Schizosaccharomyces pombe: one gene and its partners. Changing the gene in region 1 together with any one later gene gives a genetic interaction. Each region holds a gene or a part of one and is shown in the gene's direction. Other genes may lie near its edges.

Evidence for each region.
Region 2: mutations in mug28 (region 1) and deg1 together harm fitness more than expected from each alone (negative genetic interaction), as found in Schizosaccharomyces pombe (one large-scale study listed by BioGRID).
Region 3: mutations in mug28 (region 1) and lon1 together harm fitness more than expected from each alone (negative genetic interaction), as found in Schizosaccharomyces pombe (one large-scale study listed by BioGRID).
Region 4: mutations in mug28 (region 1) and rtf1 together harm fitness less than expected from each alone (positive genetic interaction), as found in Schizosaccharomyces pombe (one large-scale study listed by BioGRID).

Annotation. Positions count from the first base shown.
Region 1 is NC_003424.3:1,649,421-1,653,481, forward strand, and holds mug28 (RNA-binding protein Mug28, implicated in mRNA processing), read left to right. Parts: upstream 1-1,591; coding exon 1,592-1,721; exon of another isoform or gene 1,722-1,764; coding exon 1,765-1,921; exon of another isoform or gene 1,922-1,968; coding exon 1,969-2,656; exon of another isoform or gene 2,657-2,706; coding exon 2,707-3,561; downstream 3,562-4,061. Other genes in the region: pls1 (phospholipid scramblase), read right to left, coding at 192-1,337; mrp17 (mitochondrial 37S ribosomal protein bS6m), read right to left, coding at 3,868-3,886, 3,936-4,061. UniProt on the Schizosaccharomyces pombe protein: Has a role in sporulation.
Region 2 is NC_003424.3:4,160,671-4,164,707, forward strand, and holds deg1 (tRNA-pseudouridine synthase), read left to right. Parts: upstream 1-2,048; 5' UTR 2,049-2,129; coding exon 2,130-3,482; 3' UTR 3,483-3,537; downstream 3,538-4,037. Other genes in the region: splicing suppressor Mss51, read right to left, coding at 182-1,318; dia4 (serine--tRNA (Ser) ligase), read right to left, coding at 3,608-3,929, 3,987-4,037.
Region 3 is NC_003424.3:692,094-697,653, forward strand, and holds lon1 (Lon protease), read left to right. Parts: upstream 1-1,644; 5' UTR 1,645-1,737; coding exon 1,738-4,941; 3' UTR 4,942-5,037; downstream 5,038-5,560. Other genes in the region: mitochondrial aspartyl/glutamyl-tRNA amidotransferase subunit B-related Aim41, read left to right, coding at 474-632, 756-968; GTP-binding protein involved in beta-tubulin folding Alp41, read left to right, coding at 5,198-5,262, 5,308-5,362, 5,403-5,475, 5,528-5,560.
Region 4 is NC_003424.3:4,796,636-4,800,821, reverse strand, and holds rtf1 (RNA polymerase I termination factor Rtf1), read left to right. Parts: upstream 1-1,694; 5' UTR 1,695-1,893; coding exon 1,894-2,332; exon of another isoform or gene 2,333-2,379; coding exon 2,380-2,546; intron 2,547-2,591; coding exon 2,592-2,679; intron 2,680-2,718; coding exon 2,719-2,830; exon of another isoform or gene 2,831-2,868; coding exon 2,869-3,201; exon of another isoform or gene 3,202-3,246; coding exon 3,247-3,398; intron 3,399-3,445; coding exon 3,446-3,555; 3' UTR 3,556-3,627; downstream 3,628-4,186. Other genes in the region: sec24 (coincidence detector Sec24/Sfb2 subunit), read right to left, coding at 1-1,067. UniProt on the Schizosaccharomyces pombe protein: Mediates site-specific replication termination at the polar replication barrier RTS1, a barrier which ensures that replication of the mat1 locus in S.pombe occurs in the centromere-proximal direction.

The DNA of each region.
Region 1 (4,061 bases):
GAAATAAATTCAGTGATATAGTCAGTAGTTGTAAATTATGAGAAAAACAAAATAATGACTAGAAGGGATAGTAATAATAATAATAATAATAAAAACAGTAATAGTAATGACTAATCAGATTTAACTTTTTAAGGAGAAAAAGTATCTTTTTGGATATATCGTTAATAAATAAATAATAATCAGTTGAACAATCAATCATCCCCGTCACGGTCAAAAATATCCCAAAAATCTTGCTGATCCAAGTCTGCATCAGACAAAAAAGGAGACTTCGTTTCAGATGAAGAATCATTGGTGGAAGGCGTAGTTTCCTGGTCGTTTTTTAAAATTTCCTGAGCAGACAGGTCTTCAGCTGGATAATCGTGGTTGGAGGAAGAACCTCCAAACATAAACGGAATATTCAGTCCCAGTGCTGGGCCACCATGAATACGGCTAAAATAATCAAAATCAATAGTGACAGCACTGCCTAGCATAACTGCCCTTTCTTCTAAACTCATATCACGTGCACAAACATCATTAGCGATTCCATGAGCAGCTTGAAGCAATTGATTTTCATTTACAGAACCATTGGCTGCACTCGTAGAGGTAAATCGAAGAACGTAATTACCAGTATCAGTAAAAAATTCACGAGGAAGCCCCATGAAATTCCGTGAAACACTACCTAGGATGCGATCCTGCTCGTTTCGCAACAGAAACTCCCAACTTAGCACTCGCTCATCAATTTTGGCAAACTGTTCAAACATAGAACGCTTCGCAAGGAACAATTCATAGCGACGGCGCCATAAATGCCATTTTTGAAGGACTTCGCCAACTAAAGTAGACGAGAACTTACTGTAATCAATAGAATGAATTTGTAACCGGGAGTTTATCCAAGAAAATGGTCGATTGAGTTGTAACACCAACTGGCCGTTACTGTCCATTACATCTGCCTTAAACGCACGATGTGTGTGGAAAAATTGTCTTGATAAACTTGATAATATGGATGAGGCACCCTGTTCTGCAATGTATCCAAGATGCTGACCTTGTTGGTTAAGAATTACATAGCGGTTAGCCTGTTCATAACCAAGAAAAACATTCATCATTTCAAGTTGCCTCTCTACTATAAGAACATCTTGTGATAATAAAGGGGCCGCTGGAGAATTTAATGGAATAGCTCCAGTACTGCTAATGGCAGCAGGCTCTTGAGAGACTACTTTCGCTGTAGCGTCAATGTATCGTGTAGATTTGCTATGATGATAAAGGCGACATCCAAACCGTTTGAGCCCATAAAGCATAGTTAAATGATTACTGGAGACAAAGGTTTGAATTGGAGTAATGTTAGCCCATAGAATTTCAAGCATAGGTTTGAGAAATTAAAATTAGTTTGTGGTTCACCTATACCACAGAGGGTTGCTGAGACAAATATGTAATAAAGGCTGTGTAGTAAGTTTCACAATTTAAAATAGCACATACTATGCGATTACCTTAAAGCTTTACGAAATATAGGATACTACATTAAATTGCTTATGAACAGCTAACATTGCGGTAATTTCCTGTTTACTTTTGTTTACATTGAGAATTCCGAATTCTATAATTACCAACTAGACACATCACAATGATTGCACTTGAAAAACTTTCAGAAAAGAACAAAAGGAGCACTAAGAAGTGTGAAATTTCCATTTACGTAGGGAATTTACCTTCAACGTGCCAAAGCTCAGATCTTCATGAACTGTTTGAACCTTTCGGTAATCGTATATGAATAAACAATTTTTTCTCTAACTGTTTAAGGTAATTTCTCAAAATTCCACATGCTAAGTAGAAAGAAGAATAAGAGTACTGACTCTAAATCCCCAACTTTATTTGCATTTATCACATTTGAAAACAAATGTAGCGCTGACAACGCAATTGCCTCCTTAAACGGGAGTTCGTTCCAAGGAAATACTTTGTACGTAGATTTTAAAATAATAAACGCTAATAGAGCAACAATTATAGGAAGGTCGAGTATACGCATATCGTGGAGAGATACAAAAATAAGTTGGAAAATGGAGTTGACCAAATTCATCACTCGAATAATGAAAAAGCAAAAATTCGGTTTTCAAAAATAGAAAAGTATACAAAGGAAACACGACCGACAGTATCAGAGGTTCGAGTTAGTACCAAAGACAAAAAGGAATATTCGATGAATACCTCAAATTTAGTTCAATCAAACCCCCCAAAAGTGCACGACAAAGAGAATGCATTTGCAGAAGCAACAGGAACTAGTATACTTAGCTCAAAAGCAGTTCAAACACTCTTAGTTTCAGATTTCACGGAGAATGAGCCAAAGCATCTGTCTATCAGGCCAAATTGCAAAGATAATAATACACCGTCCATTTCTAACACTTTTATTGAGCCATATAAGGAAAATAACACGGAACATTTACACCTAAAATCTGCTTTTGAACCCTGTCAAATGATGCCAGGTATGCTTCTAGAACAGAATCCCCAATTTTTGTACGACAACCCTTCTATTTTTGTGATTGGGATTTTAAACCTTCCGTTGAAAGTATCACCAGTCGAGCTTTACAATGAGTTTAGCAATCATGGTCACATTCTCGGTGTAGCCATCAATCAAAGCATAAATGAAGATATGACTCACTACGCAGAAGTGGCTGTGAGCACCTATGAAAGTTGCATAGAGGTATTAAGCAAGCTATTTTTTGCTATAGCATTACTGACCTTTTAATTTAGATCATTGAAAAATTTCACGCCATTGCGTATGAAGGATCCATTTTACAACTTTTTATAAAACAACCTGTTCAGGGATTTTGCTCTAATTTGTTAAATCACCCAGAAGGAACCATGACAAATTTATTGCCCCCAAATATGGAAATGCCTCAGCCGTTTGAAATTCCAGTGATTGCCAAAACTTCTGCTTTGCCAAATCCATTTATTTCATTCCCTTCTTTCCAAACATCGTATGAAACGACAGTAACGCCAACACCAACCTCAACACCGACAATTGATCCTTGTAATTTATTTGTTAAAAACTTGGATGATAATATAGTAGGAAACACACAACAATTAGAAGAACTGTTTTCGAAATTTGGAAGGATAAAATCTTGCACTTTAGCGTCGTATCCCAGTACAGAAATATCCAAAGGCTATGGTTTCGTATCCTTCAGTCATCCATTTGAAGCTGTGCAAGCAATTAACACGTTAAATGGAGTGTTATTCGGAAAGAAAAGATTATTCGTGAATTATGCAGAAAAGAGAGAAGATCGCAAAAAGCGACTGAGTGCTATATTTAGCCAATCTTACCCTCCAGTTGTTCCATCGCCCTCTCTAACAATTCCAATGGCTACTGAACCACAAATTTTAGAGTATCATCAGGAATGGCCTCAACCTCTAATACAATCTATACAGCAGCACGGGTATAGCGATCCTAGACAAACATTACCAACTCGTTTAGATTCATGTGCCGCTAAGCTACGTGAAGCGGTGATTTCAAACGAAAACCTAAACCCAAGCCATAAATTCGGCATAAAACACTCCACATTCAAAACTTCACTATCGCCTTTAACCAACATTGTATTAAACCAATAAATAAAAGCAAGATATGTCTAAAGGACATAATATCAGTACCTGTCGTTTAAATATTTTAACAGTTCTTTTTTTTAATCTATCTCCCATGAAATTTAGGGACATAGTATTATACAAAGAAGATCGGAAAAAGTTGAAACACAAGGAGTCGTTAACAACGGTTGAAATTTCACATTTTAGCTCTGGAAAAGTATGTTTATTTTATAAAAGAAGAAAAGAAGAAAAAACCCCAAAAAAACAAGAATAATAAAAGATAATTGGACAGCTCTGCGAATATTTTTATTTTCTCAAAATATGAATACGCTCATTCTACATTAAATCACTCAATCTACACAAAAGGAATTAGTATAATAAAATAGTTTATAAAAAGAACATACTTATCTGCTTTTTTGACGATCATATAGCGAAGAACCGAAGGTTCAAGTCTCAGAATCCTCTGTATCTCAGATTGAACTGTGGGGTTACTGTAAAAGGTCATAGACCACCAGTGACCAAAAGAGTAA
Region 2 (4,037 bases), 2.5 Mb from region 1:
TAGCTTGTTTTGACATAAGGTGGCATGTCTTCTTTTCAAAATTCGTAATTGATAATCATTACATATATACTAATATTTTGTTTATTCACAATCCAAAATTTGGACCTTAAAATTCATTAATAGATTGCTTTTAGATTAGAATATGAAATTGGAAGATGGTAGACGACTTAACGGACAAGAATTACTCTTTGGAAACATTTTGGACATTATAATAAAGGGCTCTGAATCCAAATACTTCTTGATTTGCGTGATAAACTTCATGAAGGTTTGAATCATCAACAGACCAGCCTAAGCTGGCAAATTTATTAACAGTTGGCAATAACAAGGGCTCAATTGAATCTTTCAAAACATTATTAAGAACTTCCAAATCTTTGGTTGTTCTTTGAGATGAAGGACTTGTGAGCCATACAGAGCAACGAGTCGATACCAAATCGTGAAGTGTCGGAATCCACGATGAAGAATAAAGTGGATGACTTATAAGAGGCATCGGAAGAAAAAAAGTATCATAGTAGGGGTCAAAAGGCTCAAAGGCTCCAACTCTATGCAAATTGTGGTAGTAATCCTGATGAAAATGAAGGCTGAGTGGGGAAGGCAAATTGGGTTGCTTAGAAGGAACAACAACTTCAGGTCCGATAAAATGCAATTGAAATAAACGACCTGGGAACAAAAAGTTCAATCCTTGTAACCAAATTGATGGTGGTAATGAACATTCTTTGGTAGCACCCAAAACGAAAATTCTAGTGGGTCTGGGATCAGTAGATTGAGCAGACAAAGGACGATGAAGCATATATCGTAGAGCAGTTAATGATTGTAGACCCTGGGGAGTTAACCCATTTTTTAAATTATAAGGAGAATTCTTGTGAAGGATAGCGCCGATTGACATGGGATATGTTAATAAACTAGTAATATGTCTAGCAGTTCTAGACGATTGGAACTTTGGGAAATCGCGGGTATAGAAGAATGAATCCCATGACAGAAGAGAAACTACTTCATCTTCTTCCATGGGTCCAGGAAGTTTGAGTAGTTCCGGCAAAGGGTTTGGTCGTGCTAAGTCATGATAGTCTTCATTAATTTGGCGTAGTTTTGGGATAAGGGATTGGTGAATCTTGTCCTGTTCCCAATGAGTTCTATTACAATGAGTAGGAAATCCAGATTCAGGACACTCATATTCCACTGACTTTCCCGAAATTGGACACCGATAGACTTGTTTGATATGCTCAGAGCGACGGCGAAGAGCCGTTAAGGGAGAACGCGATAAAGGATGGAATAATTCATGAGTTGGGGATTTCTTCTTGAAGAGATTTTTTAAAAACGACATAAGTAAAAAAAATATAAGCGAAACGTCACTCTTGAACCAAAAAACAACCTTCTACCGGTTTCAATGTAACTATAGGTAATGAAATAAATTTTTATGTCGGTGTTGCAGCTAAATTTAACAAGTATTGATTTAGGTGAACGTGTTTAGTAGCAGACGAAGAAACTAAAATTAAAAATGTCAAGGAACATAAAAAATACGTTAACAAGGCAAACTATTGAAATGCTTAGTAAAAAAAATTAACAAATTAGTTCGTAGAAGCAATTGCTTTGTTCATTAGCAACCGACATTCAGTAGCGAATTTTATTCTTTAAAAAAATATTAAGTATTGAGTTGACTCAACAAAGAGGTGATTTTCAATAATGTTGATATTAAAGAACTATCTAGTAAATCAATTGCATAACGGGAAATGCACTTTCTTTATTGGAAGTCTACAATGCAACTATAAGGAATACGAATCATCTCGAAAGTAGCTGTGTTAATCTAAGCTTCTATAATTTTCATTGCTCGTAATGTAAAGTGAACTCAATATTTTAGTAACAGTTCCAGCTGGCCCAACAAGACTGCAAACTGACCATACAGAATCCCAAAGCTGTTGTACTAATGAGCAACTAAAAATATATCTGATAAATTCTCAATGTTACATAGATGATTTATAACTTTACTGCGAAAATGTCTGCCTCTTATGACAAGCAAGTCATTAATTATCAGAGCCTTGCGAACCTATTCGTCTGCCACCTGACCTCGTCAAAGGCAGTAATTAAATTGGCAATATAATTCAGGCAAGATTTTTCAATTTTCTAAAATCCTTCGAATGCCCGCCTCCAAATATGCTGGATGGTCTCGAGACCAGCTAATATCCAGAATTTTAGAATTGGACGGGAAATTGCAAAAAAATACAAATTCACTTCCCAATAAAGAAATTGAGGGGAAAAATGAAGTAATTAAAAATAAAAACAAATTGGATAATGGAAATGAAATAGAACCCCAGCATCTGAGCCAAGAACTAGTTTTGCAACATGCGCTTCAGGACGCAAGTAGTCTTCCAAAACTGAAACCTGTCAGACCGTTTCAACTAGAAAAAACAGTTTTTGTTGCTTTTAAATTTGCCTATTGTGGTTGGAATTACAATGGTCTTGCCTACCAGTTAGAACCGACTCCTTTGCCCACTGTTGAAGGAAAGGTGTTTGAAGCGCTGTTGAGAGCTCATCTCATCACTGATCCTTCATCATGTTCCTTTAGTCGATGTGGACGTACTGATAAGGGAGTTTCAGCCATGGGTCAGGTTATATCATTAAATGTACGACATTCAGAAAGAAGACCTATCATATATTGTGATGTATTGAATCGCCTGTTGCCCGCAGATATACGTATTACTGGCTATGCATTTCCACCAGAAGGCTTTGATGCTCGATTTTCCTGTAAACAGCGTCATTATAAATACTTGTTTACTAAGGATTATCCCGGTGGTTCTCTTGACATTGATCGAATGAATGAAGCCGCAGCACTTTATCTAGGTGAGCATGACTTTCGAAATTTTTGCAAAATAGATGCTTCTAAACAAATTACAAATTATCACCGTCGAATTCTCAGTTCAAAGGTTATTTGCATTGATCCCAGTACCGGTCTTTACGCTTTTGACCTACAAGGAACTGCATTTTTATGGCATCAGGTACGATGTATGATGGCCATTCTATTTTTAATTGGTCAAAAGCTTGAGCCGGCCTCTCTCATCAATGATCTTTTGGATATTAAAAAGGTCCCTACTAAGCCAATTTATGATATGGCAAGTGAGTATCCTTTGATTTTGTACGACTGTGACTTTGATAATATTGAATGGACACTACCTACGGATAGTCCTACGACTGCTCCTCGTATCGCTAAACATACATATGAAACCATATATCATCAGTGGCATAGTCTACGTATTCGAGAGCAGATAGCTTCGTTTATGCTTGACATAGCAGATCATAATGTAAAAAGATATGGCAAATCGGAAGAGTCAAGCAGTACTATGAACGTTGGTGAAGGATTGCTGAAGCGAACAAAAAAGTACATCCCAATTCTTTCTAGACAACGTCAGGAATCAGTGGAGGTCGTCAATGAAAGATATAAACGTAAAAAAGGTTTAAAAGACAGTGACGTGAAGAGTGAAAATATTAAATAGATTGTCTTATGACAGAACAGGTTTTAGGTTAATTGCTAATTTTATTTTGGTCCAAAATATATTATCAATTTTAGTATAACCTTCTTAAATAATTAGTTGTAAGTAAGACTTATGATGTACTAAAATTATTTTGCTTTAAAAAGGTATTCCTTGTGTATGTAAGGGACAAGGGTTTCCGGAACTTTAACAGTGCCATCCTCTTGTTGGTGATTTTCAAGGATAGCTATTATTAACCTAGGGATGGCAGCTGCTGTGCCGTTCAGTGTGTGAACAAAACCCGAGTCTTTGTCATTTCGATATCGTGTGAGTAGACGCCTAGCTTGGTATTCAAGACAATTAGATGCTGAAGTTATCTCCCCGTATGATTGTCGCGCTGGCATCCACGCTTCGATGTCATATTTTTGAGAGGCCGAAGATCCCAATTCCGCAGTTGGCATATTCAAAATTCTATATTCGTTAGCATTAGATCATTAAAGTGGTATTTTTGTTAGATTTGATATGTACCTTGCGGGTATTTTTAAAGTTTCTACAAACTCTTTTTGAAAATTAACAATC
Region 3 (5,560 bases), 960 kb from region 1:
AGACTATTAATAACTATCTTTTGTTAACATATTAAGATGAGGTCTTTATAAAGCATTTCTGTTAATAGGGAAACTAAATTATAGGTCTTAGGTAGCAGGACCTAATTGTAGGCGTAAGTGTTATTACCCGGCACTGTATTGCTTGTTTTTCAATTTTGATTTTGAATAACCATTAATTTAATTGTAAAATCTACCGAAAGCAAATGTCTCATTTTCGCAATCAATCTTAAAATCAGTTTGTACTAATAAATAAATATTGCTAAATTGATGGAGTTACCTCACTGTCAATGAGCGATTTCGCATATTTTAGTTTCCACATCTCCAAACAAAATGGGATAATCCTACTACCAAATACTTTCTGCGCTACACCACCTTTAGGGGAATTTTTGGGTCTGACCTGAAAACATAATCCAAGAAAAAGAATTCAATGTTTAATCAACGCTTAGTACACACATCAAGGATAGCTATTCGTAATGTACAATACTTACGCTATAATAGTACATGTAAGCAAACTTAGGAATAGTCATTTATTTGCTAACGCTTCAGCAATCCCAAATCTTCAAGCAGTTATTCGTAAAAAATTGCTGGATTCCATGAAATCTAGGCAAAAAGATGTTGCGTCTACTTTAAAAGTACGTTGGAAATAAAACGTGACGGTCTACATGTTAAATTGCATCAGTGTTCAAGCAATGTGAAGAGGCTGTCAGAACTATGTTATCTATGTTTGTAGATGAATATGACGCTAACAAGCTTAGGTATTTCTCTCGGAAATCGAATATGCAAACAAGTCGAGTAAGCCAGTTACTACAGACTTAGACGTTCTGCGAGTACTTAAAAAAAACATAAAAAAGCGTAAACAAGCTATTGAACAGTTTCGCAAGGCTGAGCGTCTTGATCTAGCGGAAAAAGAAGAATCTCAGATTCAAACTTTACGACAATTCCTACCTGAACATGCTAGTAATATTTAAAAATCTGTAAAAAGAATACAATCTAGTCATTTAATAAGTCTCTATCCTTCAATGCTTTATCAGCTTACCCTCGAATTTAAAAATATCTTGACTTAAATAACTCAACGTTCTTAATGTGTGCAAGCCACGCTACTAAAGACAGTTTCTTTTGGTTTTTTAATAACAATGTTATACTACGCAGCAATATGACACGATTGATTCTGCAACGTATCATTACATATCCTGTAAATGCTATGCGCTCTTTCAATGTTTTGAATTGAACAGCTAAGACTTATGTAATGAGAAGCTTTCTGAGTTTTTTTACACTGATTCAATTTATGCATGTGAGTTTCCATTCATACAATTAAATTAAACAATCGTCGCTGTTTTCAGCTCTTAACAGCATTATCTTATTATTAGTAATGAAATTTTGGTTAAAATTTGATAAGCGATCGGTATCTTAATTATTTAAAATAAAAGTTAATGCGGTAAAGTAAGTGAAACTATTGCAACGCTTCGATATCTCATCTGTTGAACTATTTGAAGCCGAAAAAATTGGAAACTTTAATTTTTTTCCTTTATAATGAGTATTGTATTAAATGCTTGAATGGTTTATTTAATAGCATTGGAGGTTGGAGGCAAGTAAGCCAATTCCCTCTTTGCGCTCATTATGTGACGGCGACTTACCAGCTAACTCAGCAATTACCAACTACCTTTAAATACGCCAGAAAATTAATAATAGCCCGAAACGTTCTTTGTGCCAGTTTGTAATTTAAATTCGTACAGGCCCATGATTACACGTTTATCGGGCGCTTGCTTGAGGCGATCAGGTGCTAAAAGAAATTGGCCTCGTGAACATTTGGTTCATCGGTCTTTGCTTGCTAGTTTTTCCACTACACAGAGGGTTTTAAAATGCTCAGTCGGACCTTTTCGTACTTCAAATGTTGTTTTCAAAAGTAAAGAACCAAAAGATAACAAACCACTGGATAACAAAAACGATCCCAAAAAGACACATAATGAAGATGAGTCACATACCAACGAATCTTTGCCATCTACGGATAAAAAGAAAAAAAAGGATAATGACGATTTTAAGCAAAATTTGAAATCTTCTTCAAATAAGACTGAGGAAAAGTATTCTGCTACACAAGCTTCTAAGTCTAAAAATGACGAATTTGAATTAGGTGGTGAAGAAAATGAGGATGAAATGCCTTTAAATGGGGAATTTAATAAAAATGTTCCGGCCAAATATTCGGTTCCTGATGTGTATCCTCAATTACTTGCGTTACCCATTGCGCGACGACCTCTTTTCCCTGGTTTTTATAAAGCCATAGTTACCAAAAATCCCTCTGTTTCAGAGGCCATTAAAGAACTGATTAAAAAGAGACAACCTTATATCGGCGCGTTTTTGTTGAAGGATGAAAACACTGATACCGATGTTATAACGAACATTGATCAGGTTTACCCGGTCGGTGTTTTCGCTCAAATCACCAGTATTTTTCCAGCAAAAAGTGGTAGTGAACCTGCATTGACTGCTGTTTTATACCCTCACCGTAGGATACGAATAACTGAACTGATACCTCCAAAAGAGGATGCTGATAGCGCTGCTTCTTCAGACGCAGCAGAACTTGAAACCGATAAAAGCTCTAATCTTTCTTCCAATGGAGAAGTTAAGTCTGATCTCAAACAAGACAATGGGAAAGAGGAACCTGAAAAGGAAGTTGAAAGCACACCCTCAATTCTTCAAAACTTTAAAGTCTCTCTTGTTAATGTCGAAAACGTTCCTAATGAACCTTTTAAACGACAGGATCCTGTAATTAAGGCGGTAACGTCTGAGATTATGAATGTTTTCAAAGATATTGCAAACGTTAGTCCCCTCTTTCGTGAACAAATTGCCAATTTTTCAATATCGCAAACGTCTGGCAATGTTTTTGATGAACCTGCTAAATTGGCAGATTTTGCTGCCGCTGTTTCGGCTGCAGATCATCGCGAATTACAGGAGGTTTTAGAAGCTACAAATATAGGAGATCGTTTGCAAAAGGCTTTGTATGTACTAAAAAAGGAACTATTGAATGCCCAACTTCAGCATAAAATTAACAAGGAAATTGAGCAGAAGATAACTCAACGCCATAAAGAATATCTTTTAACCGAACAGCTAAAGCAAATTAAAAGAGAACTTGGACAAGAACTTGATAGCAAAGAAGCATTAGTAACTGAGTTCAAGAAACGAACTGAAAGCTTGAGTATGCCTGATCACGTGAAAAAGGTTTTCAATGATGAACTGTCCAAATTTCAGCATTTAGAACCAATGGCTGCTGAATTTAACATTACTCGTAATTATTTGGACTGGATAACCCAACTTCCTTGGGGAAAGAGGTCTGTTGAAAATTTCGATTTAGATCATGCAAAGGAAGTCCTTGATCGAGATCATTATGGGCTTAAAGATGTTAAGGATCGTGTTCTTGAGTTAGTAGCTGTAGGTAAGCTAAGAGGAACTATGCAAGGAAAGATTATGTGTTTAGTTGGTCCGCCAGGTGTCGGTAAGACTTCTGTTGGAAAATCTATTGCATCTGCCTTAAACAGGGAATTCTTTCGCTTCAGTGTGGGCGGTCTGACTGATGTCGCTGAAATCAAAGGACATCGTCGTACCTATATCGGAGCAATGCCTGGAAAAATTGTGCAAGCTTTGAAAAAGGTGCAAACTGAGAACCCTTTGATTCTTATTGATGAAATAGACAAAGTGGGCAAAAGTCATCAAGGGGATCCTGCGAGTGCACTTTTAGAGCTTTTAGATTCAGAACAGAACTCAGCTTTCCTAGATTACTATATGGATATTCCACTCGATGTTTCATCTGTTTTATTTGTCTGCACGGCGAACACCATTGATACTATTCCTCCACCTTTGTTGGATCGTATGGAGGTTATTGAACTATCTGGATATGTTTCAGCTGAAAAAGTTAACATTGCTAAAGGTTATCTTATACCCCAAGCCAAAGCTGCTTGTGGTTTAAAGGATGCTAATGTGAATATCAGTGATGACGCTATTAAGGGTTTAATTAGTTACTATGCTCATGAAAGCGGTGTACGAAATTTGAAAAAATCTATTGAGAAAATATTTCGTAAAACATCTTTTAGTATTGTTAAAGAAATTGACGATGAATTAAATTCTAAAGAGAAGTCTACGGGTAAGTCGGGAAAGAAAACATCTCCTCAATCATCAGAAGATGCAGCAAACAAAGAAGCATCATCTGTTCCGTTAAAAGTTCCCGATAAAGTTAATATCGAGATTGAAGAAAAGGACTTGACTAAATATTTGGGTCCCCCCATTTATACTTCTCAGCGACTTTATGACACTACTCCTCCTGGTGTTGTCATGGGACTTGGTTGGACACCCATGGGAGGTGTTTCGATGTATGTAGAAACTATTGTTAAAAACATTTTATCATCCAATTCTACTCCCTCTTTGGAAAGGACGGGGCAACTGGGAGATGTGATGAAAGAGTCATCTGAAATTTCGTATTCCTTTTCAAAAAGCTTTTTGTCTAAGCATTTTCCAAATAATAAATTTTTTGAACATGCGCGTTTGCATATGCATTGTCCCGAAGGCTCCATTTCTAAGGATGGCCCATCAGCAGGTATCACAATGGCTACATCTTTACTTTCTTTAGCATTGGATACTCCGGTACCAGCGACTACTGCCATGACTGGTGAGCTAACCTTGACCGGTAAAATTTTACGCATTGGTGGCTTACGAGAAAAGACGGTTGCTGCCAAATTATCTGGTATGAAAGAAATACTATTTCCAAAAAGTAACTTAGCCGATTGGGAACAACTTCCTGATTATGTTAAAGAAGGTTTAACTGGTGTCCCTGTTGCATGGTATGATGATGTTTTTAAACGGGTTTTTTCAAACATTGATGCCGAAAAATGCAACAATCTTTGGCCAAATTTAATAAAGTCATCCTCCAAGCAGCATCAAATTTCACCCAGTCATTAACATTCTCCTATTAGAAGGATACTACCTTTATGAAGAAATTATCTAAATTCATTATGTAATAGATATAGTTAATAACGATTTATGTATTGTGCTATATTTAAAAGACAACATGTAGTTTGAATTTATTCTGTTCAATCGTTCGTAAAACAGTAATATCTTTCTATAAAGTTGATAGCTTAAGCCCTTGTTGAGTAACGCAATGCAAGGCAAATTCATCGCATATTTTCTTATTTCTTGGTTACTCTACTATTGAGAAATGGGATTATTGACTATTTTGAGACAGCAAAAGCTAAAGGAACGAGAAGTCAGGGTTTTGTTACTGTAAGATGATTCAAATATATACAGAGTGAAATCTAATGACTTTAGGGGGTTGGATAATGCAGGTAAAACGACAATTTTGAAGTGCCTGTTGAACGAGGATGTAAGTATCTTTTAAGGCTCCATAATTTATCGATTGATAGGTAAATGAAGTTTCGCCTACCTTTGGCTTTCAAATTCGAACGCTTGAAGTAGAAGGACTCCGATTCACGATATGTACGTAGCTTGCAATTTTCGAAATGAACAGTCTTAAGCTTACTAATTCAAGGGGACATTGGGGGGCAGAAAACGCTAAGAAATT
Region 4 (4,186 bases), 3.1 Mb from region 1:
AGAATTGCACGACTTGCAGTACCAACCATACCAGAAGATATGGATACAAACGAAATATCAATTAAAAATACGTAAACCAAAGGTTGTGGAGCACGAACCATATATTCTTGAGGAGCAATAAAATCAACAACTGCATAATTGAGCTCAGGACGTTGCCAGCGATCACGTTGGACATTTCTGAAACTGTCCCAGTCATATGACTGGGGTACTTCATTAACAATACCACAAGAATTACAGCGATAGCGATGGCCATTGTCAATAAAGATACTAAAAGGATTGATATACATACGACACCTGCGGCATCGTGATATAATAGTATCAGTAACAACTGGAACTGGATCATCTTCTTCGACCAAGCTAGTATATGGACGGATGACTAATGCAAATGGAATTTTTGACTTTTTTAACAAGCTATTTGTTGTCGGTACACAGTTTATCGTGGATCGAACATATTTGGGAGGGCAATTGGAAGTAGCTGCTCCAGTAGCGGAATAGCTTAAGGGTAAATTAATAGGAGGAGGAGGAGAGGTTAAGTCAGAAATTTCTGGTGTTTGATTGTACAAATCAACAGAAACTAACTCATTGGTAGGCATAGCTGCTGCACCATCTGCTCCAAGTGACATTCCGCCAAATTGTGCAGAGAGAGATTTAGTTCCCACCTCTGCGCGATCATGAGGATATGGTGAAGAGGATGGAGTTCGTGCCATAACGTAAGAGGGCTCTGAAAGAGAAGGGGGAGCCGGTGACGCTGCTAAGGTATTTGTAAGTTCAAACACCTCAGCAGGATACTGTCTACGAGACTTATGAGAGGTATGAGAAACGGGTGGTTGTTGATCGACAGATCCTATTATGTTGGTAGGAGCAGCACCCATAGCTCCAACAGCGTATTCACCATTGCTTACAATGCCTTCAGCTGTACCCTCAGCAACTGCCCCGACATAAGGAGCGGTATTATCTAGCTGGCCAGCAACTGGATAAACTGGCTGAAATCCTTGAGGAGGTATATTCGAATTTCCACTACTAGCTCCATAACTACCCTTTCCGTAGAAAGCGTCCTCCTGACTCATTGCTTTAGTGTATTTTTTTTTACTTACAGTGGTATATTGCTAGCAAAAAAAAGAAAAGAAACACTGAATTATTTAATAACTTTTTTGAAGATCCCTCTATTTTTCCTTCCTTTTCACAAAAAGACGTTTTTAACAGTGTTCCCTGGAGTAGGTAAATGGCAGCTACATTCGCTGGTTCAACTAACGTAGATGGAAAGTTAAGGTAATCACTGGAAAGTTAACGAGCTTTACAGTTTCGTTATTAAATACTATGTATCGTAGTAATTATATCGGTGACACACGTTATTACCCTAATAATTTTAACATAGGCAGGAACTTTGTACCTAATTGATAAAAAATAGTGATTATTAGTAAACAAAAGCCAATAGAGATATTTTATCGTTTTAATTTATTCTTTTTTTTTTTTAAGTTTGATATGAGGCAGATACCTGTAAACGTTTTCAACTAAAAAAACTCTTCTAAACCACTCATACTTAATTTTCTATTTTAAAAATTTTACATGTATATATCATAAACAAGAGAGTCACATCTTAAGAAATTTTGAAATTTTTTTAAAAATGCTCTCAAAAACCATCACTGCATGTATCGTACACTATTTAGCTACACCAACGCTCTATAATGTTACCCAATTTTAACAGGCTCACTAGTTAATTAGAATTCAGAATTGCAAAGTATCAAAAGTTCAATTATAGATTGAATAATTGAAGTTGCCTGCGCTATTTGGTTTTGTCTTACATGAACTATTACACCCCGGGTCCCTTGCTATACTGATTACCTTTTGTCAATGTTTTTTTCTTAATATTTCTTCAGACAAGTGAACATTATTATGCAAGGAAAAAACAATTTAAGTTGCAGACCGGATACAGAGGACAATGAAGAGCTCTTTGTCGATGATCAACTCTTATCACCCATTGGTGACTCGAAAAATACAAGTTCTTTCATTTACTTGGGAAACCCCATAAGCTTTCATGAATACAATTATGATGAGACTATGGTATCACCTGAAAATGTGAAAACAGCAATTGCTGGAAGTGCGAAAGACCATGAAACATGTCGAGGCTTCAAAAAAACAGGCACTACTTCATATAAAGACTTTGTATTCAGTAGAGATTACACCAACTGGACACCCACTTTTTGGGTTCTGTTAAGTCAACTAATTGATGAATTTTTGAAAGAAAGCGAATTAAACTTTGTGGCTGCGAGAGATCTTCTTATTAAAACCAAAAGACTTCCAAAACCTTTCAATAATTTACTCATTCAATTTCGTATGACACCTGAGTGCTTTCAAAAAAATCCGCTAATTCAAGTCTAGAAATTCAAGTGCCCAATGTTTCACGAAGGACTGTGTATAGGCATCTTAAGGGATATTTTAACATTCCAGGTTATGAAAGGTTTCAATACGTTAAAAAAGCGTCGTCTGGATCATGGGGAGCAAACGACATTATCACTTTGGAAAAAGAAATTGCTATGTTTAAAAAGGTATGGTCTTTAGCTTGCTGTTTTATTATAAATATTAAAAAACAGAAAAAAAATTGGTCTGATGAACAATTTCTTCAATATGTTTGGTCTGATAACCATCGTGATGAAATGAAAACATTATATAATTGTTTGTGTAAGTCAATTACTATCACTTGTTACTAATTAATAATAGATGAGCTTATCGATAGGGATAAAAAGAGTATTTACAATTATCTCCGCAGAAAATATAATCCATTTAAGAAAAAATGTAAATGGACTATAGAAGATGAGGCAGAATTGAAAAAGTATGTAGTTTACTTTCCAAATTGCAACTAACTAATAGACTTGTTGAAAAACATGGAACATCCTGGAGCTTAATTGGCAAATTGTCGAATAGACTACCAATGCATTGCAGAGATCATTGGCGCGACTACATTCAACCTGGTGAAATCAATCGTTCACCATGGACTATCCAGGAGAAAGAAAAATTAATCAAAACGGTTAATCAATACTTGCAAAGCAATCCTTCATCCCCTATTCAATGGAGTCTAATTTCTAAAAACATGAGAAATCGACACCGTCATCATTGTAGGTGGAAGTATTACACACTAATTTCCAGAGATATACATAATAGTTCCCCTTTCAAACTTGGCGATAGTATATGGTTAATTGAAAGGTACTCCAATTATAAAATTTTAAATAAGAAGCTAATTAAATTCAGAATGATGGACCTTAATGTTGCAGAGGAACGGATGATTGATTGGAAATGCTTATCAGAATATGCTAATCACCTATGGACAGCAGATGCTTGTAAATCGCATTTCGAAAGAATAAAAAAAACCTTGTTTATCGATGGACTTTCTACGTTTTCTGGTAAATTTTTGAATATAATAATTATTGTTAATATGTTAACGCTTTAGATACTTTAATTCATTTGCACAAAATGCTAAATTCTTCTCCTGAAGAAACTTACATTTCGAACTTACATGATTCTTACACCGCTTTTTCTAACGCCGATGATTTATGCTAGCTACATGAACAAATTTATTTTAACTACTTCCTCAAAGTCATAGATTTAAATTTTTTGTGTATTCATTGAGAGAATGTTCTCATCTTACTTATATTAGTAAATTCACTTTTATATTTTTTCTAGTATACATTTGTGTATGTAACCTGTTTGCCGTGTAGTCAATAAATAAAACAAATGTGGATAAAAAGGAAAAATAGTTTCTAACATTGGAGATGCCGGGAATCGAACCCGGGACCTTTTCAAGGTGCGAACTATGCGAATGAAACGTTATACCCCTAAACTACATCCCCAGTCGATATGATGTTATAATTTAACCCATTATTAATAAAAGGTTAAAAAAAAGAACGAATGTCAAGCTATAAAATAAAATAATCATCATCATCATTGATTAATTTAGCAAGGGTGCCTGCATCTAGTTTTTTTATCAGTCAATAACTCATACATTAACCGCATTCATAAGAGGCTATTTTGACAGGTCATTTCTGAATTTTTTGAATTAAATTAATAGTACACAGAGAGACATAAATGAAAACTAAGTAAGTTTCATTAATAATACATGAATACAGAAGTGATGCCCACAAAATAACAAATCAGATAATTCTATTTACTTACCCATCATAAATTTTTATTC